Notamacropus eugenii: one gene and its partners. The protein of the gene in region 2 interacts with the protein of the main gene of each other region in a pairwise test. Links are inferred from orthologs where the notes say so. Each region holds a gene or a part of one and is shown on either strand. Other genes may lie near its edges.

Region 1 (7,318 bases), on a different chromosome or scaffold from region 2:
CTTTTTCAGTTAGAGTGGGAGAAATCAATACTGAATCCTCACTCAATTCTGTAGACATTCTGAATGACACTATGTCGGAAGGAAACTTACTTCAGTTGGGGTCCAATATAGTTACCTTTAGCTCTTCTACCACTCCTGGAATATTGGACAAAAAAAAAAAAATCAGCAGCAACAGATAACTAACCGTAAAAGCTTAGACATATATATGATAACGAAGGTTAGTCAGGAGCTAATCATCCGATAAGGATATTTGCTTTTCTATGAGATAGAAAAATAAGACTGAACAAAGAAATATTGATATTTTATTCCTTATATAAACCACAACTTCATAAAAGGAAAGGAAAATCTGGTCATAAGAGCCAAAGCACTCAATTATTCTGGTTGGAATGCTAGTCTCTGCTTTACTACTTATTGGCTGTATAACTTCGGGCTATTAAATTTCCCTGAATTTCAATTTCCTCATCTGAAAAAGGGGAATGATACTTGCACTTCTTCTCTCACAGGTGTGTTGTGACAAACCAGGAAGGAATAAGTATTTATATGGCAACTACCATGTACCTGGCACTATGCCTGGTGTTATTATTATTATTGCCATTTTTACAGTTAGGGAAACAGAGGTTGAGAGAGCTTAAGAGAATTGTCCAGGGTCACAAAGCAGTGAGTGTCTAAGGCTGGATTTGAACTCAGGTCTTACTGACTCCAAGCCTGGTGTTCTATCTACTGTGCCACCAGCTGCCTTTAAAATTGTAAAAAAAAAAAAAAAAATGAATATGAGAAATTACCACTAATATTATTATTCATATAGTCACAAAGATGAGTGAAAACAACAAATAAAAGATTAGCTAGAAAGACAAAGAATGAACTAAAAATCTGTGAGAAACCTCCAGTGTATGAGTCAGATTTTAGGGAAACAGCTACCTAATAGCAACTGTGGATAATGTATTCAATGATCCCCAGAAAGTGGTTCTTAAAAATTGAAGGCAGCTCCCCTAATTTTGTCCTCAAATAATTTTCAGTACACATCATCTGTAAATATTAAGCATGATGAAATGGGTGGTACAGTAAAATCTGTAATGCTAAGGTAATATCTGTTCAAATCTTATATGGATCTTTATTGTTTTTTGTTTGTGGGTAGTCAGCACACTTTTTTTCCCTCCAGTGAACCAAAGACAAATGACAGAAAAATTTTACCTCCTTCTACCTTCCTTCTACCTTCACCTCAGGCCCTGTGCATTTCTTTCAATATTTATTTAAATAACTTGAATAAGACTCAAGTCTACTCAGTAACTGTGGTCAAGGAACCCTTTATTCTTTTCAAAAAGTTCATTATGTACTAACCAGGAGAAAGGGACTTCCGTCAACCCTAGGAGTCCGAGATAAGTCCTTATGAGCAAAAGATTCTACTAGTGTGCTTTTTCACTCCTAATCCTGACTAGGCGCAAGGTTTTTGTCTATTTTTTGGAAACCTCCCTTCCTCAGTCCACATATTTATTATTCAGTCGCCAAATAGTTATATTTCTACTTTTTTAACATCTCAAATGTCACCCATCTCTTCACACACTCACTACTCTGGACCAGGCCCACATCGCCAGATGCATAGATCACTGTAATAGTCTGTCACCTCCTCTTCCTGTTTTATTTCTTCCTAATCCAATCCATTCACCACAAATCTACTAGAATGGCTTTCCTAAAGCACAGGTGTGACCATGTAACCTTCTCACTGGAACTCCAGTGGTTCCTTAATTCTTTAGGATTAAATTCAAACAAATACCATGTACAAAAGAGTTTTGACATTTGAAACCCTTCACAACCTTTTCCCAGCCTGCCTTTCCAAAATCCCTTATTATCCACTCCTTTTTTACCACACTCTTGCAGTCCAGCCAGACTGACCTTGCTGGTCTTTACACAGGACACTCCATTTCCCCATCTCCTTGACTTTGCACTGGCTGAATCCTATGCCTGGAATGCACTCCCTCATCTCGGCCTCTTAATTTCCTTGTTTCTTTCAAAACAACTCCAGTAACACCTTCTCTGGGAAACCTTTCTCAAGATGCTAATGCTCTCTCCAAAATTACGGGGTTTGTCTTTTGCATATTCTAAATTACGTCCACGTTGTCTCCCTCAACAGAATGTTAAACTTCTTGAGAGAAGGAGTGCATCATTATTTAGTTGGGTGTATTTCCAGGGTTTATTCCAGCAATTGGCACTTAGTATGTAGTTTTTCAAAAATGTGTGTTCATTTATTGGCCGCAGAGAGCAACGCTTAATCGAAAGCTACTTAAGGAAACGCTCCTTTCCCCCTCCCCCTCTTTTTTGCCTATTTTCTAAGAAAAATTTCCCCGTCAGCTCAGTAAGGAGGGAGTGAGGCTGGAAAGAGTCATCGAGGGGTACAGGACACGGACACAGCAGGCCTAGCTCTAAAAACAATCTTCCTGTTCTGGCTGCAGGGTCTAGAACCTCCACGGACGCCCAGGCGCATCCCTGGGGAGCCACAGAGGCGACATGCCGGCAACCTGAGATGTTCGGACCCTCAACCCAGCACTCACCTAATTCCAAGAAGACCCTTTGAAGACTTCCGCACACACCCAGCCCGGACTACTCTTCCCAGAAGCCCTCGCACACGGCCCCTACTTTCTGCAGACAGGCACCTCCCTTGGAATACTCAACCCTCAATGGCTCCGCGGCGGGGCACGGAGATGAGGTTGAAAACGTCACAGCAGGGTGGCCATGAAGAATCGCCAAGTTCTCCTCTCCCCCCTTTTCCGTCCTTCCTCGCAGATCTCGGGCTATGGGTGCAGCAGTTGGGACACACGGATGAATGAAGCCTCCTGGGTCCTCGCTCTCGGTGCCCCCACTTCGGACTTGTCCGAACGCAGGCTTGCCCTGTACCCTTCTTGTTCTCACCCCCGGCCTGGGAAGGAGGTGGCTCGCCTTCTCCCCGGCTGTCGTAAAAGGATGTTAGAAAAACGTTCTCCCAGAAGCCTCCCGGCAGAGCTGCTTCCGGTTCTCAATCCGGAGCGGGCCAGGGGGAAGTGACTCAAGTGGTTGCCGTAGAGATGAGGGAGTGGGGAATCCTACAAGCATGTGATGGTAGATTCAGAACGGAAAGGGGCGGCAAGCATTTTTCGTAACCTTGGCGACGATTCTTATCCTGTCTCCCCCGACATTTGCAGTCAGATGCCAAATCCTGCCTTTTCTACCCCTTCTCGCTATGCACAAAGCCTCCAAAAGTCACCGCCCTAGTCCAGGTTCTCGTTATCGCAAGTCTATTCCTTCTCCGGTCTACCCTCCACACAGTTGAGTGATTTTCCTAAAGTACAGGACTGACCATGTCATTCCCTTGTCCAATAAACTCCATTGGTTCCCTAGGATAAGATACGAGGCATTGCAAAAGTCTTAGTGCAGTTTTGATACTAAAATTTAAACCTGCACTAAGACTTTTGGAACGTATAAACGATTTGGTTTTTGAAACCCTCTACAACCTAGCAACAATGTATCTTTCCATTAACAATTGTCAATTTGTCTGAAACAGTTACCACCAATAGCTTTCCGGAAATATCTTCGTTAGAAAGTTACATAATGTCAAGCTTTCTTGTATCTGCTAGGTGTCTGAAACAGTATCTCCAACAGTTTTCCGGTAATATATTCGTTAGAAAGTTACATGTTAGGATATATTGTATCTGTTGGAATGGCAAACATTTTAAAATAATAGTCATTTAAAATGTCAAGACTAAGGCAAATGTCATGCACACACATATATGGAGGGAGGGGAAGGAGAGAGAGATTTGAAAAAGACAAAAATTGAAAACTACTCATATCCCAAATTACTTAAGACAGCACAAGCATCACCTTCTGCACCAAGCCTTTCCTAGCGTTTTTCTGCACCTTCCCTAAGCCCCACATCCTCCAAATTCCCTTTTAGAATGCAAGCACTTTAAGGGTAGGGGCTGGTTCACTTTTGTTTGTGGAGTCCACCATAATGCTGTACATAGTAGGTACTTAATGTTTGCTGTTTATTTGGAGAATGCATATATTATGGTATTTCAATGTAATGGAATATTATGGTGCCATAAAAGTTATAAGATATGAAATACACAAGGAAAGGAAATAAAAAAGACCAAAGTTATTATATACTGATTACAAGATTTTTTTTTTAAGGAAGGAAAACTGGTTCGTCACATGAGGTGGAATTTCAGGGATGCTTGAAAACAAATACAGAGCTAAATTTCTTTTGGTTAAATGGCTGGGGGAAGTGAAAGTTTGGTCTGCATTATCTCTGCTTTTTTTAGTTCTAACAAAAAGCTTGAGCCAACTCAGAAAAGACAACTCACTGGGCAAATTTTTCATAAGTATGGTACATTGGCAGGTATTTTTCTACTACAACTAAATTTTTTAGTTACTTGCCATCAAAAGCATAAAAGATTTGTAAAATCACAGATTCAGTCTGGGTTTGAGCCTCAGGGGTCATTTAGTTCAACTCCTACCTGAAGAGGAATCCACCTTGTGATTCCAGCTTCTGCTGGAAGACCTCCAGCTAGGGAGAACCCACTACATTTCCAATGGATGTGTGTTCTTTGAAGGCTTTAGTTCCGTTTTTTACCTTCAACTCTCAGGAATGTCTTTCACATAGCAGTCACTTAATGTTTGTCAAACAGCCCATTCTATTTTTAGACAGCTCTTAGGAATAGTTTCCTTGTTTGAAGCCAAAGTTTGTTTCTCTGCAAAATAGTCTAATATATTTTCCATGATGAGACTTAAAATATTTCAAGAAAACTATCACATCCTCCCTAAATCTTCTCCTGTGTTTGGAGATTATTTCATTTACCTAATAGCAGGTACAAATATCTTGATCATGCCTAGAAATTTTCCAGATAGAGACCTCCATGTTTTCTGAAACTTTAAAGGGCTTGTTCAGCTGTTAGAAAGAAAGAATGCTCTGATCAGATTTCCTACCTATGGTCCCCAGGGAAAGTTTTGATTACATCATATTGAATTGATAGAATAAAATACAAAGTCCTTTGTTGTTTATAGCTCTTCATAATCTGGGCATAGCCTGTCTTTTGAGGCTTATCATATGTTGTGCCCTTTACATATGTCATAGCCAGACTGGTCTAACTTGCTGAACATGACATTTCATCTCCCACCTTTGAGCCTTTTCATTAGAATATCTCCCATACCTAGACGTTACTCCCCTCCTCAACTGTTTTTTTTAGAATTCCTATTTTCCAACCAGGCTTAGTACAAGTGTCATCTTCTATATTAGGTCTTTTCTGATTCCTCCCATTGTTCAGAACATTTCCCCTATCCCATATTACTTTGAGTATTTTTGTACTTACTTATCCATGTAATCAGTTTCCCCCAGTAGAAGATAAAGGCAGGTGTGTTTTTGTTTTGTATCCCCAGAGCCTGGTATGTTTTAAGCACTTAATAAACACTTGCTGAATGAATGATTAACCAAATGAGGGTAGTTGTACCCCTCAGTTTACCTGATTTAGACTCTCCAGTCTAATGTGCAAGGTATCCAAGTCCTAACGCAACGATGATCATCCTCTTATTGGGGGAATAACACACAACAATGATTATCTATGGGGAGGTCACTGCTTTATTGGTCATTGGTTTGCTCTTTTCAGCCACAAGGAGAATGAGTCCCAAAGAAAAGACCCTTACATTTTCTATAATATAAAATAATACATTATATCAATACAGTCATACATATATACTTAACTCTATAATCCACATGACATCATCACTATCAGCATATTTATAAGCAAGCTCCATTTTGCATTCACTTTTCCCCACTGGCTTTTTTTGATGACTTGTTGCTATATATTTGTCACATATACTTTTAGCTGGCCCACACTAATTCCAACCTATTGGAATCATCCAAAGCATTAGATATATTAATAATCTTGGGAGAAGTGTGAAATGATTATACTTTGTGACAGTTACAGGTAGACCAAATGGCCAATTACAGGTACTTCCTTTTCCTTCTTCTTTCTCACGTCTGACGTTTGTCTACTCAGTGGTGTAACTGAAGCACAACAGGAGAATACAGTCAATGGAGTACGTTACATAGGCATTATCACTAACAAAATGTGTATTATTATAATACGTATAATGAATCCCTCAAAAGGGAAAATTAGTTTATCAGTTTCTGTCAAAGTAATTTAAATAAATAAGCCAGTTGCTTTATTTTCAAATAGAACACTTATTTCCATTAAACATGTAGATATAATTTCTGTGCTACTATACTTGCCCAATACATATCGATGAGCTGCTGGAAAATATAAAATCTTTAAAACTTATAAACTATAGTGGGGATGTTTTTAACTTCAATTTTGAAGAATGCATTTTGGCAAGTTCTTTAAATCAGGTATTACCAGTTTCTACATTTTTGTGGTATCATCATGGGTCCAGACTCTGACTGCGATCTGATCCAAAGTCTATGCTTGGAAACAGTGGTTAAGCTACCCAAGGGTGATACCCAAATCCCAAAATTTATTTGTATTAGGAAGTCACTTTTTAATTTATGTTGGGGAAATATATATGTATTAATCACAATTACATAGTTGTATTAACTAATTATCTTTTTCTGGTATTGAGCTATCTGGGGTATACTGTTAAGTTATGGGTTGGAATAAGTAGCCTCTCAGGTACTGAGACTTCTGAAATTTTGTGACAAAATTATCTAAAGTTCCTTTTGCTCAATTTTAAGTGATACTTACAATAAGATTCAATAGCCCAATCAATCACACTTCTTCATTATAAAGATATGCCTGCCATTATAATTAGATACGAGTCAGCTAATAAAGGGGATCCTCTTAGACAATGCTTCAGATACTCTGAAAAAGTTTTACCCTACAACTTTCCATTTCCAAATGATAATGATGCTATCACCACTTAGCTTAACATCAGTTTGTTATAATATACTTTGATGTCAAGTGATAATCTGATTTGGTAGCTTATTTTTACACACACATTTTTTAAAGTTAGAGACTTCCTACTAACACAGGGAAGCATCTTGTTCTTGTCAAATGAGCTAGCTCTAAACTACATACTATTTACATTCTTACTAGCTTAAATCAGAGTATGTCTTTTTTCTAAACTGGGAGTCTTGTCCATTTCTTGACCTCAATAATCTCTCATCCCAGATAATGGCAACCATCTATTCTTGGGCCTATACCTCTCTGGCTACCCTTCCTATAAGCCTGAATTTTCATATTAAAGTGTGATAACAAGAGAGACTGCATGGTGTTGTAGATGAGTGTTAGCTTTGAAATCTAGTAGATCCGAGTTCAAATCCTCTCTCTCATATATA
Region 2 (7,310 bases):
ATGGTTGTGGATGATATGGCCACCCAATCAACTATGAAAGAGAAGAATTCATGCTCAGCTGATGCCAACTGACTGGAATGAAAATGGAATTGCCTTTAGATTGCTTACAGAGAGGCAGTGGAGTCCAGTGGATGGAAGAATGGACAGGAGACTCCATGGTTATTACACCATATATTAAATGCCAATCTCTTCAACATTCCAAGCCCCCAGAATGGTAAAAATTTGAAAATGTGTTAATAGTTAAGGTGAGGAGAGAAGGGAAAGGAAGGGAAGGCTAGTTAATAACTGGATGCAAAAAAAAAAAATCTTTCACACTTATTAAATGTCTACTAAGTCCAAGGCAGCCTGGCTTAATGGACAGAGTCAGGAAGGCCTGGGTTCAGGTTGGACAACCTTGGACACATGGGTATTAGTTGTATGACCCTGTGCAAGAAATTTAACCTTTCAGTGCCCCCAGGCAAACCTCTAGGTACCCCTTTGCCTTAAAAGAAAGAGTTTCATAGCTAGGAATTCTTTATGCCAAGGAAATCCTAAGTCTGACAAGAAAAAAAAATTAAAAGCCTGAGGCATTATACATTAGATGGGGATTCAGAATGGAATGGAAAAACTGCCCCTGCCTTCCAGAAGCTTACTTCTAATGAATCGACCCAGCTCAAGCCAGCTCAGAAGGCAATTTTATCTATCTGCGACATGGAGAAGTTGCCACAAATGACCAATCTCCTGTAAGTATGGAGTTAAATATCTTAGAAGAAAGCAGTCTACATTTTCAGATGTGAAGCAAACGCAAGTATTAAGATGGCCTGAGATAAGATAGCCTTGGACAGGATGAGATCTTATCCCGCCCTCTATCTCACAGAGTTCTTACTGTAATTGGTGTTATAATAGCTCATTATCCACAGTCAGAGTTCTGTTCAGTGAGAATTTCAAGGCAATGACTAAGGGGGAGCACCCCCAAATGAATACTTGAAATGCTCCCAGAGTGTTTTCAGGCTTCTACGCAGCAAGTGGCCAATGATGGCTGCTGGCCCCTTTTCTAACGCAGAACCCCAGCTTGAATTTCTTAGATGATTTCTTGAGATTTTCTATTTGTTTGTTTTTAAAATTCTGATCGACAACACCCCGGTGTTGACTGGTCATTCCACAATTGACTTGGACTGAAGTGTCCTTGGAATGGGGGGGGGGGGGGGGGGAAGAATGACCCAGAATATGGAGTTAGTAAGTCAACAACATTTATGGGATAGCAGAGGTGTCAGGTTTTCAACGCCCAAAGTTCCAAAGAGCAAATATCTAATATTTATCCTTGAGGAAACTGATCCCTTCCAATTTATCGGCTAATAAAAGGGCTAGTGAATGAAGAGCTTACTGACCTCAGCCGCATTCAGTATCCACTGACAAACCTAGAGTATTCTGCTATGCAGCCTTTCCTCAAGGTCTCTTGCACACAGCAGGGGCTTAATACATGTTTATGGAGTTAAACTGACCATGACAAGGAAAAAAACCAACTACAGGGTATTTTTGTGCCAAGATGTACTTTGAGATTTTTTTATGAGTCCACAACTCACTAAATGCATCAAGATTTGCCCCCATCTATCCGACCCCTCCAGGGGAATTTATTTAAAGAAAATGATCACAAAGCTCTCTACTTTGGAACTCAGGTCTTGACCTTCCAAACCGCACTGTGATATTTATTCTTCAATTCTATTAGGAGCCCTTCCAGGGTTTTATGAGACTGGCCATGCCCTCTATCTCAGGGTAAGGCCCAGGTAAACAATGTGGAGGAAAATTGAAGGGGGAAATACTACAGGCAGGAAAGTCCAATGATTTCAAACAGCTCCGAGAAATGAAAACGGAAAACAAAAGCCTTCAGAAAGCACAAGTGGATCTCTATTAACTGACCCCTTCAGTGAGGTGTAAGGAATCCTCTCACCAGACTAGCCTGCGTGGGCTTCAAGGGAGGAAAGAAGTCCCCACACCTGGCAGCGAATACATGTTAACATGAGTTTAAGGGAAAGGGTTTTTTCCCCTTCCCACATATCCCCAATGCCGCTTTCTTCCCTCTCCCCAGTCCCCCCACAAGCCCAGCGTTGAAAGCAGGAGCCTTGAAGCCACCCCTGCCTCTCCTGGCACCGCTGGCCTCTCGGTGCCTTTAGACGTCAGACAGCCGGGGAGCCTCCAGCAGCGCAGAGAGCCCACAAGGGCAGCCCAGAGACATTTCTAGCCCCATTCATTCCTCCCAGACCCCCCCTATTCTGCGGCCGGGGAAGGCAGAAGCGAGCTTTGGGACCCTATCGGAATGACACGAGGGAGAAGAAGGAGAGGGGCGGGAGAGGGGCCGGAGCCCCCCCGCTCCCGGAGCCTTCTCGCCCCCTTCCACCTGCAGCCCCAACCCGGCCGAGCTCAGACAAAGTTTGCCCGGCACTCCTCGCTCCGGGAACCAGGACAAGTTGAGCATCGGTCCGTTCTCTACCTTCGGCTGGGCTCGGGCTGAGCCCGGCGGGGCAGTGAGACCCCGGCCAGGACCCCAGCCTCTGCCCCTTTCACCCCACCCAGCCCAGGCATATCTATCCATTCCGCAGGGGGTTCCCATCTCCCCAGGGACGGGGTCACTCAAGCGCCTGGGACCCCCTAGCCCTCCCCCTGGAGGGGTGCCCCGCGCGGCGGGCGATCGCCAGCAACCCCTCTGGCATCAAGCCCTCCCTCCCATCCCCGCGGGGTACAGGAGGTCCTGGGCGCAGCGCCTCCACCCAAGCCCGGCTCGGAGGCTGGACGATGGAGCGGCCACTTACTCGGACGGGTCCAGGCTCTTCCTCTCGATGGCCGAGGACATTGGCGAAGGGGGGGGCGCGCTGCTGGGGTGGGGGTGGGGGCTCCTTTGTCGCGCAGGGCCAGGCAGGCGGCTCGGCACCCCTGGGTCCTGGTCCTCCTCCTCCTGCCCTCCTCGGGCAGCGCGGCTGCTCACCGGCCGGCTCTGCCCTCCGCCCTCAATGACATTCACGGGCTCCCTCGCAGAGCCAGCGGCAGAGCCAAGGCGGGCGAATCCCCAGGGTGGGGGGCCGGGGAGGTCAGCGGGGTGCGGGCCCGGGGATGGGCTGGGATGGGACCTGCCTGGCCGCCGGCCCCCGCGCAGCTCCGCTCTCCTGGCTCCGGCACTCAGCCCTCCATCCCGGGGAGCCTCGCCTGCGCCTGTCCCTGCCGGCCCGGCTGCGGCTGCGGCTGCGGTGCGGCAGGCTCGGCTCGGGGTCCCCCTGCCCTGGCTGCGGCTCCGGCTCCGGCTCCGGTCCGTCCCCGCCGCGAACCTGCGCCCCGGAGTCCCCGCACACCTTGGGCTCGGGCTTTCAGAGCGCGCGTGTGTGATGGGGCGGGCAGGAGGCGGCCGGGGAGGGAGGGGAGAGGAGGAGGAGGGGGCGGGTCCGGGGGCGTGCAGGTCTCCCCCCGTTCTCGCTGAAATGTCTATTTTTTGCTCAGCCTCCCTCTGTCTCTGGTTTCATTTCCTTTTTCCTGATCACGATTCAAATACAATAGAAGGAAATCACATTTAAAGAGACAGCTGCCCGTTTTATTTCTTTTCTTTTCCTTTTTCCCTTTAAAAAAAAAAAAACTGGGCTCCTGGGGGATTAACAACCCAAACAGCAGCGACCTCACGACTGACCTGGCTTCTTAAAGGGGGCAATGCCAGGGCTGGGGGGCTGGCTGGGCGCTGCACTGCCCACCCCTCAGGGGCCGAGGTGGCCTGAACCACCTCAAAACCATCCTTTGGGAATCACCCCTACCCATCTTCCTTTCTCTTAACTAAGGCTGAAAGTAAACAGGCTTGCCCCAGAGAAAAACATTTTGGATGACAAAGGGCAGAAGCAGGACCACTTTTCGAATCACAGGTGTAGAGCTGGGAGGGACCTCAGGGCTACTCTGGTCCAATCCCTTCATTTTATAGAGAGATGGAGCGATTTCTCTCAAAGCCACAAATTAAGTAATAGAGATGGAATCCCAAACCCACCGTGGCAGATCAACTGAGACACTGAGAGATATAATGGAAAGAGCCCGGGCTGTGGAGCCAGAAGTCTTGGCAAGGACAACAAATGTGCAAAGGTGTGGAGGTGGGAGAATTCAGAAAGCCTTAGATCCTAGTTTGGAGTGACAAACATGTCAAACAATCCAGAAGTCTGAAATAGATGAAAATATAATTGGGAGATGTTTAACCAAACAAAAATACAATATGACCTAGATAATGTAAATTTGTGGTTTCCTAAGTCAATGTGTGATCTGCAGGAATCTGTTCTTATGGATAGGACAGTAGGCTGGGTCTGCAAGACTTGGGACCAAATTCTGCCTTTGATGCTTTCTGCATGTGTTACCTTGGGCAAGTGTATTAATTTCCCTGGGCTCCACTTTCCTCTACTGCAAAGTGGCGGGGCTTGGATTTCAGCTGAAGATTTATGATCCTCTGTAAACTATAAAGCCTCCTAAGTGGTCTCTTCATCTAATCTCTTCCTTCTCTGATCCATCTCCCATAATAATTTTTCTAAAGCACAAATCTGACTATGTTACTCCTCACCTCAAGAACTTTAAATGGTCCAATTCATTTTACAGATGAGGAAACTGAGGCAAACAGGGTGGAGTGACTTTCACAGTGTCTGAGGTCAAATTTGAACTCAGGTCTTCCTGACTCCAGGTCTGGCACTCTATCCAGTGGACCAGGCAGGTAGAATGTGAGCCCCTTCAGGGCTGGGGCCTTACAGATGAGGAAACTGAGGCCCAGAGCCAGGATTTGAACTCAGGTCTAAATCCCATGTTTTCCCTATTGAACCACATCCATTTGTGAGCAGAAAAGAAATTCCTGAAGGAACTTGCTATTCCTTTAAAAAATAAGGTTTTTGTCTTGTACCATCAAAGCCTAGTAAGATACTTTGAGCAAAGCAGGAACTTCACAAGTGCTTGCCCTGGATCAAGGAGCTGGAAGATTGCTAAAATCCCCCTTCAAAGAGTCGGTAGATGGTCGCTCTCCTTTTCCTGGGTCTTGAAGCATCCTGTGAGGAAGCTACATTTTAATTTTTTTCAGTCAGAGACAATGTTTATTAAAACACTATTGGGGTGGATGAAATTTTAAGAATCCTTGAATTTGTAATGCTTGTATTGACAAGCAGGGCATGATTTAAGAATCTGAGTCAGGAAGCTACATTTAAACAATAACCTTATATCAATGTGAACTGGTACCATGGTACCCCAAGAGACTGGAGTGACAATGCTGGGCACTGGAAAGAGCATTGGTTTGGGAGTTGGAAGCTCTGGTTTCAAATTCTGCCTCTGGCCCTTACCATCTGCGTTTCAGTTTCGGTCTCAGTTTCCTCATTTGCCAAAGGAGGTTGTTGGACGAATTGGCCCCTGGCACTTTTGGATCTAGGATCCACAGCATTATTTCTAGGCACATAGCTTGCCTGTAAGGAGTATAGGTCACAGGAAGGGCATGGGTTGACCTTAGGAATGGAAGGAAGGTTTGTCCAGATATTGGGGACAGGCCAGGTTAGGCACCCCTAACCTGGGGTTGCAGTGCTAGAGATCCCAGTTCAGCAGAGGTGGGGGGAGAAGGGAGACATTTCAGAGCCTGTGCAGGGCTTTCTCCCCTGCTTGAAAATGCTGAACCGATCTAGTGGTTAAACCTGTTCACTTATAAATAGCCAGTAAATAACTGCAAATACACTGCCCTGCATTAATGATAAGTAACAGCAGGAAGATTCTTTTGCCCTTCCCTCCAGGCATCCAGAAGGAGCCAAATGAGATGTTCTGATTTTCGAGCTATTTTATATTCACCTCCAAAGGTAGAAATAGGAAGGGTGGGAGGAAGGGGCTCATATTTACCAACTACTCCATTTCCACAAAACTCACATTAAACAACCTCATTAAAAAGCACTTATAAACTTTTAAAAAAAGTATTTCTTAAGGGCCCTGGGACAGTGGGGCTTAGAGAGAGCACTGGATCTGCAATAGAATGAGGGCAGTGCTATGCACTAACCCAGTGACCTTGGACCAGGAGCTCCTCATCCCTCATCCCTCATGTGGAAAATGGTCTGGATGATCTCTATAGCTCCTTCCAACTCTGATTTCATGCTTCCTGACTTGGGAGCATAGAGTGATAGACAGAATTAGAGCTGGAAGGGACCTCGAATGCTAACCTGGCCAATTCCATCCATTTACAGATGAGGAAACTGAGGCCCAGAGCCAGGATTTGAACCTAGGTGGTCTTATTTTAAATCCCATGTTATCCCTATCGCACCACATCCATTTGCTACCAGAAAAGAAATTCAGGGAAGAACTTGCTATTCCTCTAAAAAATAATTCTACTGATATCTTTTGTTTTTATATTGCTTTTATTACCTTCTCTTCCCACCCGCAGTGAACCAGCCCTTAATCCAGAGAATTTTTTTAAAAAGATAAAAAAAATCATTACGTGGTACACAGCTTTTTGGTACATATTTTTTTGCTTGCCAACCTTCCTCCATTAGATTATAAGCTCCTTGAGGGCAGGCATTGTCTTTTGCCTCCTTTTCTATCTCCAGCACTTAGCATGGTGCCTGGTACACAGTAGGTGCTTAATAAATTCGTACTGAGAGGAATCAAATGCTTGTTCCTTCAGGGCTGTAAGTCCAGAGACCAGTCCCCACGACCACGTCAAGATTAATCCCTGGACTACGATGCATATATTTTTATCCCTCCTATGATTCTCCGGCCTTCTTACTCTAAGAACTGGGTCCCTGACAATATGAACTAAATGTATTTTCCTGGAGTCAGGAGGCTGCTAAAGGAGCCACTCTATATCCACAGCCTTCACTATATATTTTTAAGTTATTAATATAAGAGACGTTCTCATGCTCAGACACTTCCTTTTAATGGGAAAAGCCTCCCAGACTTTCTCAGGCAGCCTGAATTATGTGATAAATATTTAATGTCACACATAATCACTGTACAATCAGGAAGGAGAGTAAAGAAGGGATAAAATTCATGGGGGTCCAGGTCCTAACTGTTTTATAATTCTGAGAATCGGAGAGATCAGAAAGTCAGTGAGGATGAAAATGAAGGCTTTCACAATTTCCTTAAGAAAATAAATCCTTTTTTTAAAAAAACATGAACAAGCTAAGAATTTTTTAAAGAATTTTATAATAACATATTAATGTTTATTATCTCTGAGAGCAAAGAGTATGTTTGCATTTCTTTGCTTTAATTAAGTCTGATAACAAGCCAGTTATTGTCTTACATGCTCTAATTCTGAATTGGGGCAAGAATCAGTCACAAAAATAAATAGATCTTTGGATTCCAGA
Region 3 (7,437 bases), on a different chromosome or scaffold from region 2:
TGCCCATTCTCCACCTCTGGATACAGCTGACCTCGCCAGAGGGGACAGTGAAAACCATTCAGTTGTAGGGGGCTAGTTTCCCTCAGCATGATTCCATCGTTTTCTAGTTGCTTTGCTTTTTTGAGAAGATCAGGCATCATACAGACCTAGTTTCCCCTAAAACACACAAGGCACACACACGCACACACACATCCCCTCCCTCTTTCCCTCCTAGGTACTGGCAGAGACCTCTGAAGCACAAAGAGCCATCTATATATACCCCACCTCCCCTCCTGCCCCCTCGCTCGCCCAGCCACTCAGGCTAAGTAAACAGCACAGACTGCCTGATGGGGAGGGAAAGGCGGAAATTAAGGAATTCAGGGAAAATATATCCCCTTTCCCTGTCCTGTAGGGAAGGGGACTCTCCCACATGGGCATATAATGCCTCAAAGAGAGAAACTAAAGAAAAGAGGGGATAACTGAGGCAGGAGATACAGTTAGGAAAATAATGCACAAATGGAAGATTTTCAGGGCTAGAAAGGGGCCAACGTGTAGCCTCCCTAGTCTTGGGGTCCTGGGTTTCAGTTCTCACCCTCTGTGAAGGGCTCCCACTGGTAGAGTCGGCCCATAAATTCCTGAGGATCAAAGGCGGCACACTGCAGGGCCCGTGGATCTGGCTGTTCAGGGGGGCAAGGCTGAAGTTGGGGGAAACAGAATTGTCAGGGCTAAGAAAAAAAACAATAGGAGGGTAGCAGTTGAGGATTGGGATGGAGTGATTTGCAGAGGGGAAAGAAGGAATCAGAAACTAGGAGAGTATGCCCTTTGGCCTCCCGACAAAGATCTAGGAGATGATAACCCAGGGAGAAAATGGAGGCCTACAAAGGAGGGAGCTAGGGCTCAGACATGAGGGTTATCTATCCTCAGGACTAGATAAGATAAATTGGGACCTTAGATCCCAATTTAGATCCCTCACTCTTTTCCAGAACAGTTTCCCCCAAATTATTGGAGCACAGCTTTGGTTTCTATGCAAATTAGGAACATCTAGAAGCCTAGATGATCCAGGATCAAGGCAGAGCTCACCTTCTGGATACAGGCTCTCAGTTGCTCCTTCTCTCCAGGACAGTTCAGGGCAGAGGCACTGGGGGCAAAAAGGCTCCAGAGGGGACCTGAGTTGGAGCCAGAGCTGAGTAAAGGCAGCCAACTCTCTGAATGGTGAGGGGGAGTTTCAACAGCCTGTTGATGGGCATTTCTGGGTGCCCACTGCTCTCTCCTTCTCTGATGACCTTGGCCTCGGCCCTGGCCCCGGGGGGCAGAGGAGGAGGGATGGGGGGATCTTCTCCATTCTGGTCCCATTTGCTGGGAATGATGTGATCTCTGTGGGTGGACCTGATTAAGGGAATTGCCTGTTCTGGGGGATGGGGTGGGGGTGGACTTTGCTTTGAAGTTGGTTGTCTTTGGGGGTATCTGCGACTCTAGAAACTTGGTATTAGGAGGTGTTTCTGTCCCAAGATTCTGGGGACTGTAAAGGTCTTCCTGGGGGGGCAGTACTGTAGAAGAGATCTGGGTTTGGGGGAGCTGAGTATTAACAGGCGGTTCTGTTTTGACAGTCAGAGCTCGGAAATCCTCTGTTTTAGAGTCTTGGAGGAGTTCTGCCTCTGGAAATAGAGTCTGAGGAGCCTCATCACTGGGGAATTCCGTTTTGGGCTGTCCATGTGGGTGCCTCCGGTTCCGATGTAGGGGAAGAGCAAAGGGAACTCTCCCATAGCCAAACATTCCTGGCTTGATAGGATCTCGAACACGTGACCTAGGAAATTGTTATAGTTACAGAGTTATGGTTCTGCTTACTTCTCCCATATAACTAACATTTTGAATCTCTTCTGTTCCTCACTCCTGTAATCAACTTCATTTCCTATCCCAGTTTCTAGTTTCCTCTTGTTCTAAGGCTCACCTATTCCATTCACAATCTTATCTACCTGCTGAGATATATCACCTTCAATTCCCACCTCATTTCCCTTACCTCCTTAAGGCTGAGGTCTCTCTAGCCTCCTCTTGTTCTAGAGGGCCACTTCTCCCCCTTGGCTCCGGCTTGTAGAGAGGGAGGGTCTCCCTAGGGGTTTGGGGTCTGGCGTTCCGGGATCGAGCAGTCAAGGGTTCCGGATGTCGAGGTGGCCTGGGTGGTAGAGGCAACCCGGTTTGGAGTAAAGATGTAGGTGACTGGCAGATTCGACTCCGGCGTTGTATCCCAAGCCCACAGGGCTGGGAGCAAGGGGACCATGGACCCCATGAACCCCAGACACCCTCAGGGATTTTACTTTCTTCAGGATGTGCTTGTCGTGAGTGGCGAGGGGATATCTATTTGGGAGAAAAAGAGACAAATCAAGGAGGGATTGGAGTAACCTGCATGGGAATGGGGGGAATGACTGGGGCATCAAATAGGGAAGGGCCTGGGGAATTAGATGAGGAGGGAGACATGGGGTGAGCAAAGGGCTCTAGGAAATTCTTGGGGAGACAGGGTTCTAGAAGGTTGGTGAGCAGGCAAAACCTTCCAACCTCTTCACTGACCTTCTGGTCTAGGCTGAGTTGAGGAAGGAGCAGGAGCAGCATAAGAGGCGGTCTTAGTCTGAGGAGCCAGAGGCAGTCAGTAATCAAAGTTAATAGCTAGAATTGAGGTCACAATCGTTCTTATACAGGCTGTCCCAGAAGTCTTAGTACAGTTGTAAGCTTTCATATCTATTGCAACTTTAGCTTTATGAAAGCTTAAAATGGCACTAAGATTTCTGGAACAGCTGGTACAAAGCCTGGCCCCCTACATCTGGTCTCACAGCTTGTCAGAAAATAGAAGGGGTTACTTACCCATTCTTCCACCCTTGCCATCTTTCTGCTTTCTTCTCCTGTACCTCCCAGGGATAGATCCCACTACCCCTTCCCATTTTCACCTCTTACCTGCTTCCCCATTTCTCCATCGTTCTCCCTAATCTCCCCAGTCCTCTGGAGATAACACACTACTCAGAAATCTAGAGGGCTTAGGATGTGAAGAAAGACCTGAAAGAAAGGCAGGAATAAAGGTTACCCTGACTCTTCTCTAGACACCTGAAGGGGTTATGTCCCCTCAATAAAAATGTTCAAGGTTAAGGACAGAAGTTAGGACATAACACTACCTAATACCTCCTCCTCTTCTCTGTCCCTATTTTGAGAGACCAGGATTGCTGTCTTCTTTCTTTCCCTTGGAAAGCTGAGGGTCCCAATGCTCTGGTTTTCCCAGTCATCCCTTTTACCTTCTCCTCACTGCCCCCTACCAAATCCCTCAATACCCTAATTAATCTCCCTTTCCTAATCTCTGGTTTCTGGTATTTCTATCCCGGCTCAAGTACCAAGCTCCATCCGTCAGGAGTCCTCTTGCTTCCAGGGCACATTCTACATACCCACCTCAGCAGGTACCAAGAGAGGGTACATACCACTGGGTTCTCTCTTCTCAGGAGGTCTCCTACTTTCATATCCTTTGGTTCAGCTTTTCCTTTGGACTACAGGTCCAAAGATTAGAAATCTCTTGTCTTTTTCTTGCCTCCAGTTCAAACTGTAAATCAAGTAAACTGGCTGATGGTTTAAATAGCAGTAGCACAATTCTGTAGCTGGATGTGAACCACTGGCCCAAGCAATCCAGAAGAAGCCCCTGTCTTAGCTCAGTCACTCATCAATTTGCCCAACTAAGATAATGTGCTAGGTGTTGCAATGAGAAATCCTAAGCAGCAAAGAGCCTTTGGCTCCCCCTTTTTTGGAAAGTAAGGAAGTCCTACTTAAAATCTAGTTCTGATCCTATGTAGACCAACAAGAGCTTTCAACTCCAAGCCCTGGTGAAGCTGTGGATTTGCTACTCCTCTTTCTTGCTCCCTACCTCCCTCCTTTGCCTAGACTCTGAGCCCTGGGCCCCCTCCCCTGTTCTCTGTTCTGCTTTCCAGGAAAAAAAAAGTTGTTTCTGTTGGAGCTAAGAAGCACCCGGGAGAGGAGTCCAAGGGACCAAAACAGAACTGGGCCAACCATGGGGTTAGGGAAAGAATGAAAGAGACAGATTTTGGATGGAGGTGCATAAAAAGGATCTGTGCTCATCTTTACTGTTCCTCCCTGCAATTACCCATTGACTTGAAAATGTGGGGGAGGGAAATGACTGGTCAGATCAGAACTGGCTGGGGTCATCTCTGCCTGGGCCTGGCAGCCCCTTCCTCCCTTCCCCAGGGTTTGGGTTGGCCCTGCTGAGGTCAGCAACAACGCCTATGGGGCAGGGGGCCATGGTGGGGTTCCAGGCAGGGTGGATGAGAGAGGGTTTCATACTTTCACATAAATGTCTACTTGTCTGCTCCTAACCCTTTGCTCACTTAGGGAAGAGATAAAAGCCCTTACCTTGAAGCAGAAAAGAGATGATAACCAAACTAACTTCCAGTTGGAGGAGGAATGGTCTGCTGGCCATTTCTCTATCTCTCCCCCAGATCTATATCCCTGCCACCCCAGGTCTATGCCTATGGCTCCCCAGGTCTCTACTTAGTACACATAATCCCATTCCTAGCTCGATTTGGCTCTGGCTGTTCCCAAGAGAAGTGGGGGCCAGAGGGGTGGGGGTGACGTGAGCTCCTGGGGCTTGGGCCAGGCCTGGCTCCCTCTCTGGAAAAGTCCCCGGCCCCACCCTCCCCAACACAGCTGGGCAGGGGGCCGATACCTTCTCCCCCCTTGCAGGGAGAGACAGAGACAGATATAGAGGCAGTCTGTACTCCCCTCAGTTCTGGCCTCTCTAATCACTTGGTACCTTTCTGCCCAACCTGGGGGTTAGCAGAGGTCATTAGAAGTTTCCCTGATTACAGAATGGGCACTGCTATCTGACCATCCCGAACTGACCTGTTTATGGCCACACCCCCTCCCCAGTCTAGTGGAGATCAAAGAGCAAACCAGAAACTAGAAGAGGAATAGCCCTTTCACCCTTGTACTTCCTCCTAGGGTTTTTTGGAGATGTTGGGATGGAAAATGTGTTGATGGGGGGTGGGGTGCACTTTAATGTCCAATTTTCTTGAATACCCTTCCCCTTTTGCTCCCTTTTCCCTTTATGTTGGAGTCTGAACTGTTATCCAGGATGCCACCCCTATCTCCCACCCTTAGGGGTCTGAGGCAAAAAAAAAAAGGATTGCCAGCCACCTGCATTCCTTTCCCCCCCACCCCCCGTCAGTTCCTCAGAGACAGAATTCCAAGTCGGACCTGGGAAGCCAGCGTTGGGGGAAACAGAACTGTCCTGACTGGAGTGAAGATGGAGAGAAGGGGCGCTGTGCATGTATTGGGGTGGGGACGCTGAATCTGATCATGGATGGGGAGAGGTGGGCTCCCTTTGCCGGAGAAAGTTTGGGGGGGTCCCCAACAGAGTTCGGTTAGGAGCGAGGATACTCGGGGGCGGGGCGCTCCAGGAAAGCGATCTAACGGGATTCCGGGGGAGCGGGCCGGGCAGCGGGGGTCCTACCTGCGCGCGGCTCGTGGCCCCTCCGCTCTCCGGCTCCCCGTCCGAGCTCCGTTCCACTCCTCTCCGGCCGCTCCGGCCCGGCCCCTGAGCCGGGCTCCCGGTCACTGGCGCCTCCAGCTCGGGCTCCGCCCCCGTCCGAGGCTCCTCCCTCGCTCCTCCCTCCGTCTGTCCGTCCGTCCCTCCCGCGTGGGCTCCCGTCCCACCAGATCCCTGCTCGGCTGCTCCAGCCAGCCGGCCCCAGCTGGGACGCCCCGGGTGCCTGGGCAGGGACTCCGACCCTCACCGCCAACCTGGGGTCCTCTGGACTGGACAGAGCGTGGGCGGGGCAGTCCGGCCAGGTGGTCAGGACCCTCGGACGGCTCTGAAAAGGGCGATGCTCTGAGGCGCCTCGCCAATGTCTGGAATGGTGGGACCCGCCCCAACTTCCTTTTTAAGGATAGACGGGACGGGCCTCAGGTCCCCGCCTCCCCTTAGGTGCAGCACCGGCTGCCCATCCCTCCCTTCTTCTGCTGCTTGGGGCTATCCAGGCAAAGACTCCAGGAGGGCGGCTGGCCAGGCTGGGGGAGGCCCCGTCGGGAAACGCGGGGGGAGTGGACAGCTGCCGCACCTGGACTGGAGCCTGGGGCCCTGGTGTCTCTCCCATCCGCGTGTGCGTGGGGAAGATGGGGAGGAGGCTTGTGGAGGGATGCTGAGTTGGGTGGTCAAAACTGTGAGCGCTGTGAGGGCTGGGGACCCTCTCCTCTCCTCCTCCCCACTCCTCTTCCTCCTCTATATTTAGTATCTCTCCACTCCCACTAGCACCTGAAACTGCCCTTTCCTTCCTTTTGCGCGCTCCCTCCTACTTCTCTTCCCTCCCCTCTTCTCCCCTTCCTTTCTTCTTCCCTCCTCCTGTTCTCCCCCCTTTCTCTCCTTCCTTCTCATTCCCTTCCCCTGCCCCGCTCCATTCCTCTCGGATGCCTCTTCTGTACTTTGTCTCTCCCCACTCCCACTATCGCCCCACGCCGTGCTCATCAGTTTTCTTCTGTAAAATAAAGGGGTCGAACTCTCCGGCCTCTCAGCTCCCTTCTGCTTCTAAATCTGTGATTCCATAATCCCAGATAAATTCCATAAAACCCAACATCTCTGTTGAGATGCTTTGCAGAAATGCTTTGAAACCTGTAAAGCCACATCAGAATATATTATTATATTTAAATGTTTGACTGATTGGATATTTTGTATCTCTAGCAGGATGCCACTGTTCTAGTATTCATTGTGTGTTACAGCCCTGCCAAATTGAACTACTTTTAAAATTTACTGTCTCAGGTCCAGCGCAACACCTTTTCGTTCACGTGAAATGTCTCCTTCCATTGATTATCCATTAAAATTTTACCTAATTTTTTGGGGAGAGATTCCAGGTCTCCCTACCCCTGGTCCTATTTCATTGTTTGTCCTTTGTTCTAGAAGAGGACCATGAAATCAGGAAGGTGATATCCTGACTTGCAAGTGAATTGGATTTAAGTGAGGGAGGGCTCTGCTGATGGGGATGGAAGGCTTGATCTGCTCTGCTTCCAGCCTATATTGCTTCACCCTCTTTAAGGAAGCATGGTGGCATTCTGTTACCAGGGGCCTACCAATAGTGCAGACACCCAATCAACTTGAGCCCATTTGCAGTTCAGAACTCCAGAGCTCAAACAATCTACCAGTCTCAGCTTCCCCAGTAGGGAGCTAGGTGGTTCAGTAAATAAAATTCTGAGTCTAGAGTCGGGAAGACCTGAGTTCAAATTTGACCTCAGATACAAATTTGACCCTGGATAAATCACTTAACCTTTGCCTGCCTCAGTTTCCTCAGTTGGAAAACTGGGACAATAACTCCCAGGGTTGTTGTAAAGATTAAATGAGATGCTATTGTACAGTGTTTAACTCAGTCCCTAGCACATACATTCTTAATAAATGCTTGTTTCCTTCCTTCCTTTCCTGACCTCAGC
Region 4 (7,346 bases), on a different chromosome or scaffold from region 2:
GTGTCAGTTACTTTCATAATGACTAGTGGGATAAGAAATCTGGAAATGGTTGTGAGGACCGAATTTTCACAAGGGAAGAAAGATATAATTTGAATAGAATTGTCAGGCTTTATGTATACCTTAAAATAAGCAACTTGGATATGCTCTATAGCAGAGGAGAAAACCAATTCATTCTCATGAGCTTTACCCCAAAAGTCACAGACTATTTGGAGATTAAACTCACTCCGTTAAACCCAGAAACACAATTTTAGGATGGACTAAGATCTCATAGCACAACTCAAAGAAAAGAAGTAAAGGATTCCATATCTAACTACAGGATTTTCAGGAAACCAAATTTCTAAGCTGCAACTTTGCATGAGAATGGTTACCAAATATTGTTGGAAAACAGGTTTCTTAGATTCTATGGCAGCCTACACCAGAGAAATACAGAGAGCAGTTGTTTTGACTTGGACTCTGTCTGGATGTGCATCTAAGAGACATCACCCAAGGGAGACTACTTCAAGAATTCTGAGGCAAAATGCTTTGAAATCAGGACATTTGCAACTTGAGGTAATCAAAACCAACATTTGCAGGTGTTTCCAAAAGTCCTTTGCAGTAAAGGCTCAGTATCTTGGAGATTATTTTTTGAGGGCCTAAACTAAACTTGGCTCAGTCAGATAAAATTTGTATGAAGTACCAGGAACTACTAGCCTGTCTAAATTCTAAAGAGTTAAGCAGGACTTTTAGAAGGTTTTTCTGTCACTTTAATATCCTAAGCTTTTCTGTTTTTCTCAGGACCTGAAATAACAACACACCAGGTTCAAAAATATTATAGTTATCCTAAATTTCAGTGCATTTTTTAATAACGCATAGGTCTGGGAGTCAAGAAGGCCTTGGTTCATGTCCTGCCTCTGAGACAAACTGTGTGACTCTGGACAAATTAGTTAAATCCTCAGTGCCCCTGCCAACACTCCTCTAAGAACAGAAGATTCAGAACAGTTTCTGATCTTCATTGTTTCATTTTCCTCACCCAGACAACTACTCCCTCCCATTTTTTAAATCCAGTTTTAAAATTTGCTCTTAAATGCTCTTTACAATTTTTTAAAAAACAGATGTTCATCCTAGATACTCAAGTTTAAAACTGCATAAAGACTTTAAGCTCTATGAAGATCCAATATAACTCCAAGAAGATATTATCTAGTAATATCACAAACTCTTAATGGTCACTTTGGTGGAATATGTACCATCACTGACCTATCAGCACTGTCCATGACTACGTAGTTAGGCACATCAAATGTCCTACTATTGCAATTTAGCTGGTCAGTGAAACAAGGACATCCCATCTAATACACATTCTTTGGAGGCCACTGAATACCATCCACACATCTCCACTGAATCTTTCCACTGGGACCACGGTACAAGTCATTCATTAGGCCTGCAGGCAGGAAAACCTGGCTTCAAATTCTGTTTCAGATGGTAGCTGCGTCACCGTGGACAAGTCATTTAACTTCTATTTGCCTCAGTTTCTTCAACTGTAAAATGGGGATAATAATAGTACCTCCGCCCCCAGGGTTGTTGTGAGGATCAAATGGGATAGTCCTAAAGTATTTGGGACGGAATATTCAATACTCTGATATTTAACCGTTGTTCCCTTCCCTCATGCTGACTGAGGGTTTTGTAATGAAATACAATGAACTGCCCTTAGACCAAAACTGTCCAACCCTTTGGTGAATCTGATCTCAAATAACTGTGACAGCAAACACAAGGGGAGGAAGAGAATGCCCTTTAGATAAGCCTTTGTACTTAAAAAAAAAAAAGCCTGACTTGGGAACTAGCCTAATGTAGAGGCACCTTCACCCTTGTGATTTATACAGATGGTGAAGCTGGGAAACACCCTCTTGGTGAGTTTGAGAAGTGAGGGAGTATCATCTGTATGCCCATAGGTATACAACATATAGTTTTCATTAAAACATGCCAGCCGCTACAAGAGCCTCCATTAATGACATGACAGCACTCCTTAAATCTAGGGATTCTTAAAGTGTGGACCCAGAACCCTCGCTTCAGGACTCCAAGAGGTCAAAATGACGCTTGTCATCATACTAAGATCTTCTCTGCCTGTTTAAATGCTCCATCTCTTCCAACTCCCCATCTGTAGGAATCCCAATACACTTCAATGAAACCAAGACATCCCAAGAGGTAGAATGCAGAAGCCAACTGAACCCAGCTGTCCTCCAGGGAGCCAGACGCAGAGAGTTTGCAAAACTATCGAAAACAGCGTCATTCTCACTCATTTTTTTTGTTTTGGAAATGTTATTTTTCATCAAATGCCATTTATGTGAGCATGGAACAGGTGCACTCTCAGGGCATTTTAAATCTGTCAGCTTTGGTTTCTGACACGTAAATTCTACAGAGACGACTCAGAGAAAGAGAAGTTCTCTGGGCGTCCCCGGACACTGCGGAGAGCGTCCTCGGGTCCCGAAACCCCCAAGTCTGGGACTCGACACCCCAAACAACCCTCGGTGACTGCTGAGCCCAGGGGGGCAGCTCTCGGGCCCGGGCCTCGGGCCGCCCCTGTCCTTCTGGGTCGGGGGGCTTCACCAGGGGTCCTGGGGACTGAGATGGGGGGCGGGGCGGGGACGGTATCTTGGTTTTCACCTAACGTATTTTATTTTAAGAATTTAAAAGTCTGGCACTGGGAACGCTTCCGTCGGCCTCGGGCTCTGGGCCGCCGCACTCCGCTCCTCCCAAGCCTCACGGCGGCCCGGGCGAGCTGTCCGGCCCCGCCCGGCCTCTCCCGGGTCCCCTCCTCCCCAGAGGGGGAAGGCAGGAGGGGAGAGCCGGCCGGAACCGGGCCGAGCCGCTGCCGCCCAACCCTCCCCAGCTGGCCCAGTCCTCACTGAAGAAGCCGATCCGCGGCGCTTCTCCTCGCAGAGATCCAACACATCCTCCATGGCCGCGGCTGCTGACGTAACTTCCGGGAGCCCCGGGGCCCGGATAGCGTCCCTAGCAACCGGCTCCCCGCCCCCGCCCACCCCGCTATTAAAGGGACCGCGACTGATTTTCAGGGCTCTTGGGTGCCCGCTGAGGGAGAGAGAAAGGAGGGTAGAATAAGAGGACAGGAAGGGAGGAGGGGAAAGAAAACAGGAGGAGAGAAGGAGAAACGGAGAGGGGAAGGGAGGAGTGGAAAGGAAAAGAAGGGAGAGAGAAAAGAAGAAAAAAGGGAGGAGGAAAGTAGGAAAGGAAAAGGACAGGGAGGAGAGGAGAAGGGGAGCAGAGAAAAGAAAGGGAAGGGAGGAGGGAAAGGAGGAGAGAAGAGGAAAAGGAGAGGAAACGTTAAGAAAAAAGAAAGAAGGAAGGAAAAAAAGGGCAGAAAGGAATGAAAAGGAAAGGAAGAGAGAAGGGGAAGAGAAAAGAAAGAAGGGAAAAAGGAGTGAAAAGAAAGAAAAGGGAAGGAAGAAGGGAGGAGGGAAAGGAGGAGAGAAAAGAGAAGGGAAGAGAAAGGAGAGGAAATAGGGTCAGAAAAAAGAAAGAGGGAAGGAACAAAGAAGGGAAGAGAGGAATGAAAAGGAAGGGAAGAGAGAAGGGAAGAGAAAGTAAGAGGAAAAGAGGGTAGAAAAAGAGAGGAGGGAAAGGAAGAGAGAATGAAGAAAGGGGCAGAAAGGAGGTGGGACTTGTTCTTTCTTAGTCCTAGCTGAGTAATACTTCAGGGAATTATGCCCATCCCCCTGAGGAACAGTTCTCTTTCTAGTCATTGCCTCAAGCACTTTCTCTTGCTAAAAGTCACTGAGTTTTCTCCTGTGGGACTGAGTGAGCATTTAGGGTTACAGGATCAAGGATTTAGGACCGAAAGGGACTTTGGAGGCCATTTATTCCAACTCGACTCTCCTTCTAGCACCCCTCATTTTGCAGATGAGGTCTGAAGTCACAGAGTTTAAGAAAGGCTTGCCCAAAGATTCAAACTAGTCATAAATAACAAATGCAGAATTTGAACCCAGGTCTCTGCTTCCAAAACCAGTGCTTTTTCATCTGCATAAAGCTGCCTCTAGCTAATTTGTCCAAAGTTGGTTCTGTACTGAAGAAGGGTAGTTTAAGGCAGAAATAACAGACATACTTGCTAGATACATGTATCCCTACTACTAGACTGTGCTAAGCTTCTTGAGGACTAAAGAGCATTTCATTTCATATTTCCAGGGTACTGCACGGTGCCATGTACATAGTATATGCTTAATAAACCCAATTCAATATTTATTTAGTTTCTGTTATGTGCCTCACAACTGTCTGTCATCGAGCTCAATGGACTCTGGCTTCCTCCTCTTCCGCACTACTATACACTGGGGAAGATTTATTTAAAGCTTAAGTTTGGGTTCATATCTTATCGTATTCCCAAAGTGGAGGCGTAGAGTGATAGCTGGTGTATATGATGTAAATCAGGAATGAGATAGTTAGTTATTTCCTGCAAACAAAAGACTCACAGATGTAACAGAAAGAAAAAAATTAACCAAGCTAACTAAACTAGCAGTTACTGTGATACTCAGCTAGGAGACATACAGAAAACCACCAACATAAAGCATTCGTGGGACTGCCAAAAAGGTACTTTACGTTTTCACCTCTGCTTTGCCACACTCAGGAGATGTCTTTTGGCAAGTCAGGCCAAAAATATCGGGCTCATCCTTCAGAAAGGGGCCAACTTCTTCAAGAGTGCTAGTAGTTTCTTGGGACTCCTTTAGAAGGGAAATCAAAAGGGACCCAAAATCTCTGGACCTCTCATACTCAGTAAGGTCACTTTGCAAACCTTGACATTCCTATCTCTAGACTGATGTTCAGTCATCTAGGAAGTTTTCCACCCGAGTTCTAAATGCTATCCCCTAGAGGGTCATGGTTGGTGGTGGTCGTCCTTTGTTCTCGAAGAGGACCAAAATGGCATCACTATGTTAGAGTTAAGTTACAGTGTGTTCAACTGTGGCTGATCAGACCAATATGAGCTCAGAATGATCTACCACAGGTTGGGCACAAATAATCCTTGTGAACATTTGGGGTGGATTCTCTAGATTTGCACATCTTGTGTTTCTTTTGAGCTACCTCAATTCTGCTTTGTTCATAGAGTACACCTTCTTTAATGAGGGTACACTGAGTGGTCCTGTGCCAGTGTTTCCCATGTCACACAATCAATTCCAAAGTTCTTCAGAGAGACCTTGAGAGTGTCCCTGTATTGCTTCTTCTGACCACCATGTGAGCGCTTACTTTGTGTGAGTTCTCTGTAAAATAGTCTTTTAGGGAAGCACATTTGGCATTTGAACAACATGGGCAGCCTCTTGGAGTTGTGCTCTTTGTAGTAGAGTTTGAATGCTTGGCAGTTTAGTTCAAGAAAGGACCTCAGTGTCTGATACTTTACCTGTCAGGGGATCTTCAGAATCTTTGTAAGACAATTTAAATGGAAGCCATTCAGTTTCCTGGCATGATGCAGGTACACTGTTCAGGTTTCACTGGCATACAATGAGGTCAACACAATGGTTCTAGAGCAGGGGTGAGGAACCTGCAGCCTCAAGGCCACATGTGGCCTTCTAGGTCCTTGGGTGCAGCCTTTGGACTGAGTCCAAGTTTTACAGAACAAATCATTTCATTAAGGGAATTTGTTCTGTGAAATTTGGATTCAGTCAAAGGGCCCCACTTGAGGACCTAAAGGGCCACATGTAGCCTCAATGCTGCAGGTTCTCCACCCCTGCTCTAGAGGGTCAAAAGAAGAGGGAATCACGGGTGGGGTAACTTCCTTTTAAAAAGCCCACTAAGGGTGAATCAATGGAATAGGTTAGGTACACAAGACACAATTATCAAGGACTATAGTAACCTACTGTTTGATAAACCCAAAGACTTCACTTTCTCGGATCAGAACTAACTATTGTACAAAAACTGCCAGGAAAATTGGAAAATAGTATGGCAGAAACTGGGCATAAACCAACCTCTTACCCTATATACAAAGATTAAGGTCAAAATGGGTGCATGATTTAGACATAAAGGGTGATGCTATAAGCAAATTAGGAGAGAAAGTTTATCTGTAAGATCTATGGAGAAAGAAAGTATTTATGACCAAATAAGAGATAAAGACCTTTATGAAATGGATGATTTTGATTACATTAAATTAAAAAGGTTTTGCACAAACAAAGCCAATTCAACCAAGATTAGAAGGGAAGCAAAAAAACTATGAAATTATTTTTATAGCCAGTGTTTCTGATAAAGGCCTCGATTCTAAAATATATAGAGAACTGAGTCAAATTTATAAGAATGCAAGTCATTCCCCAATTGATAAATGGTCAAAGGATTTGAATAGGCAATTTTCAGATGAAGAAATTAAAGCTATCCATAGTCATGTGAAAAAATGTTCTTAATCACTATTGATTAGAGAAATGCGAATCAAAACAACTCTGAGGCACCACCTCATACCTATCCTAGTGGCTAATATAACAAAAAAGGAAAATGATAAATGTTGGAGAAGATGTGGGAAAATTGGGTATTGGTGGAGTTATGAACTGATCCAGCCATTTTGGAGTGCAATTTGAACTATACTCACAGGGTTATAAAAATGTGCATGCCCTTTTTTTCAGCAATACCACTACTAGGTCTGCATCCCAAAGAAATTATTAAAAAGGGAAAAGGAATCACATGTACAAAAATATTTACAGCTGCTCTTTTTGTGGTGGCCAAGAATTGAAAATCAAGGGGATGTCCGTCAACTGGGGAATGGCTGAACAAGCTGTGATATATGATTGTGATGGAATATTTTTGTTCTATAAGAAGTGAGGAGTAGAGAGATTTCAGAAAAACCTGGAATTACATGAACGGATGTGGAGTGAACGGAACCAGGAGAACCCTGTACACTAGGCCTGCATAACATATGGCCTGTGGCCCACTTGTGGCCTAACAAAGAATTTCTAACAGCACACAAGAAGTATAGAGTTGCCACTGTGCACACTCCTCTCTGTCACCTGACCCACAGCAAACAACCATCATCAGTTTATCTCTAGTCTTACCTATCTGCAGCTGAATAAATTTAGCCTATTTTAATTTTGTCCCCAACTACTGTCAAGTTGTGAAGGTCTGTTGTACACAGTAACAGCAACATTGTGCAATGACCATCTTTGACAGATGTAGCTCTTCCCAGCAGCATAATGATCTAAGATAATTCCAAAAGACTCATGAGACAAAATGCTTTCCACATCTAGAGAAAGAACTATGGAGAATGCAGATTGAAACATACTATTTTCTCTTTTTTTTCTTTGTTGAGGTTTTCCCCTTTTGTTCTGATTCTTCTTTCACAACATGACTAATGTAGAAATATGTTTAATATGATTGTACATGTGTGGCCTGTATCA

What was found.
Region 1: the proteins of LMO2 (region 2) and zinc finger protein 24-like interact in binary tests that used the Homo sapiens proteins (3 or more experiments, as listed by UniProt). The two-hybrid records come from large-scale screens. The link is inferred for Notamacropus eugenii from reciprocal best matches to the Homo sapiens genes LMO2 and ZNF24.
Region 3: the proteins of LMO2 (region 2) and ADAMTSL4 interact in binary tests that used the Homo sapiens proteins (3 or more experiments, as listed by UniProt). The two-hybrid records come from large-scale screens. The link is inferred for Notamacropus eugenii from reciprocal best matches to the Homo sapiens genes LMO2 and ADAMTSL4.
Region 4: the proteins of LMO2 (region 2) and IFT43 interact in binary tests that used the Homo sapiens proteins (3 or more experiments, as listed by UniProt). The two-hybrid records come from large-scale screens. The link is inferred for Notamacropus eugenii from reciprocal best matches to the Homo sapiens genes LMO2 and IFT43.

What each region holds. Positions count from the first base shown.
Region 1 is NC_092873.1:72,398,616-72,405,933, forward strand, and holds the start of zinc finger protein 24-like, read right to left. Parts: upstream 3,022-7,318; 5' UTR 2,547-3,021; intron 136-2,546; 5' UTR 59-135; coding exon 1-58. UniProt on the Homo sapiens protein: Transcription factor required for myelination of differentiated oligodendrocytes. Required for the conversion of oligodendrocytes from the premyelinating to the myelinating state.
Region 2 is NC_092877.1:17,525,451-17,532,760, reverse strand, and holds the start of LMO2 (rhombotin-2), read right to left. Parts: upstream 3,009-7,310; 5' UTR 2,828-3,008; coding exon 2,787-2,827; intron 1-2,786. UniProt on the Homo sapiens protein: Acts with TAL1/SCL to regulate red blood cell development. Also acts with LDB1 to maintain erythroid precursors in an immature state.
Region 3 is NC_092873.1:304,419,595-304,427,031, reverse strand, and holds the start of ADAMTSL4 (ADAMTS-like protein 4), read right to left. Parts: upstream 3,022-7,437; 5' UTR 2,943-3,021; coding exon 2,923-2,942; intron 2,600-2,922; coding exon 2,542-2,599; intron 2,332-2,541; coding exon 1,997-2,331; intron 1,784-1,996; coding exon 1,060-1,783; intron 675-1,059; coding exon 572-674; intron 1-571. UniProt on the Homo sapiens protein: Positive regulation of apoptosis. May facilitate FBN1 microfibril biogenesis.
Region 4 is NC_092878.1:59,236,803-59,244,148, reverse strand, and holds the start of IFT43 (intraflagellar transport protein 43 homolog), read right to left. Parts: upstream 3,014-7,346; 5' UTR 2,931-3,013; coding exon 2,877-2,930; intron 1-2,876. UniProt on the Homo sapiens protein: As a component of IFT complex A (IFT-A), a complex required for retrograde ciliary transport and entry into cilia of G protein-coupled receptors (GPCRs), it is involved in ciliogenesis.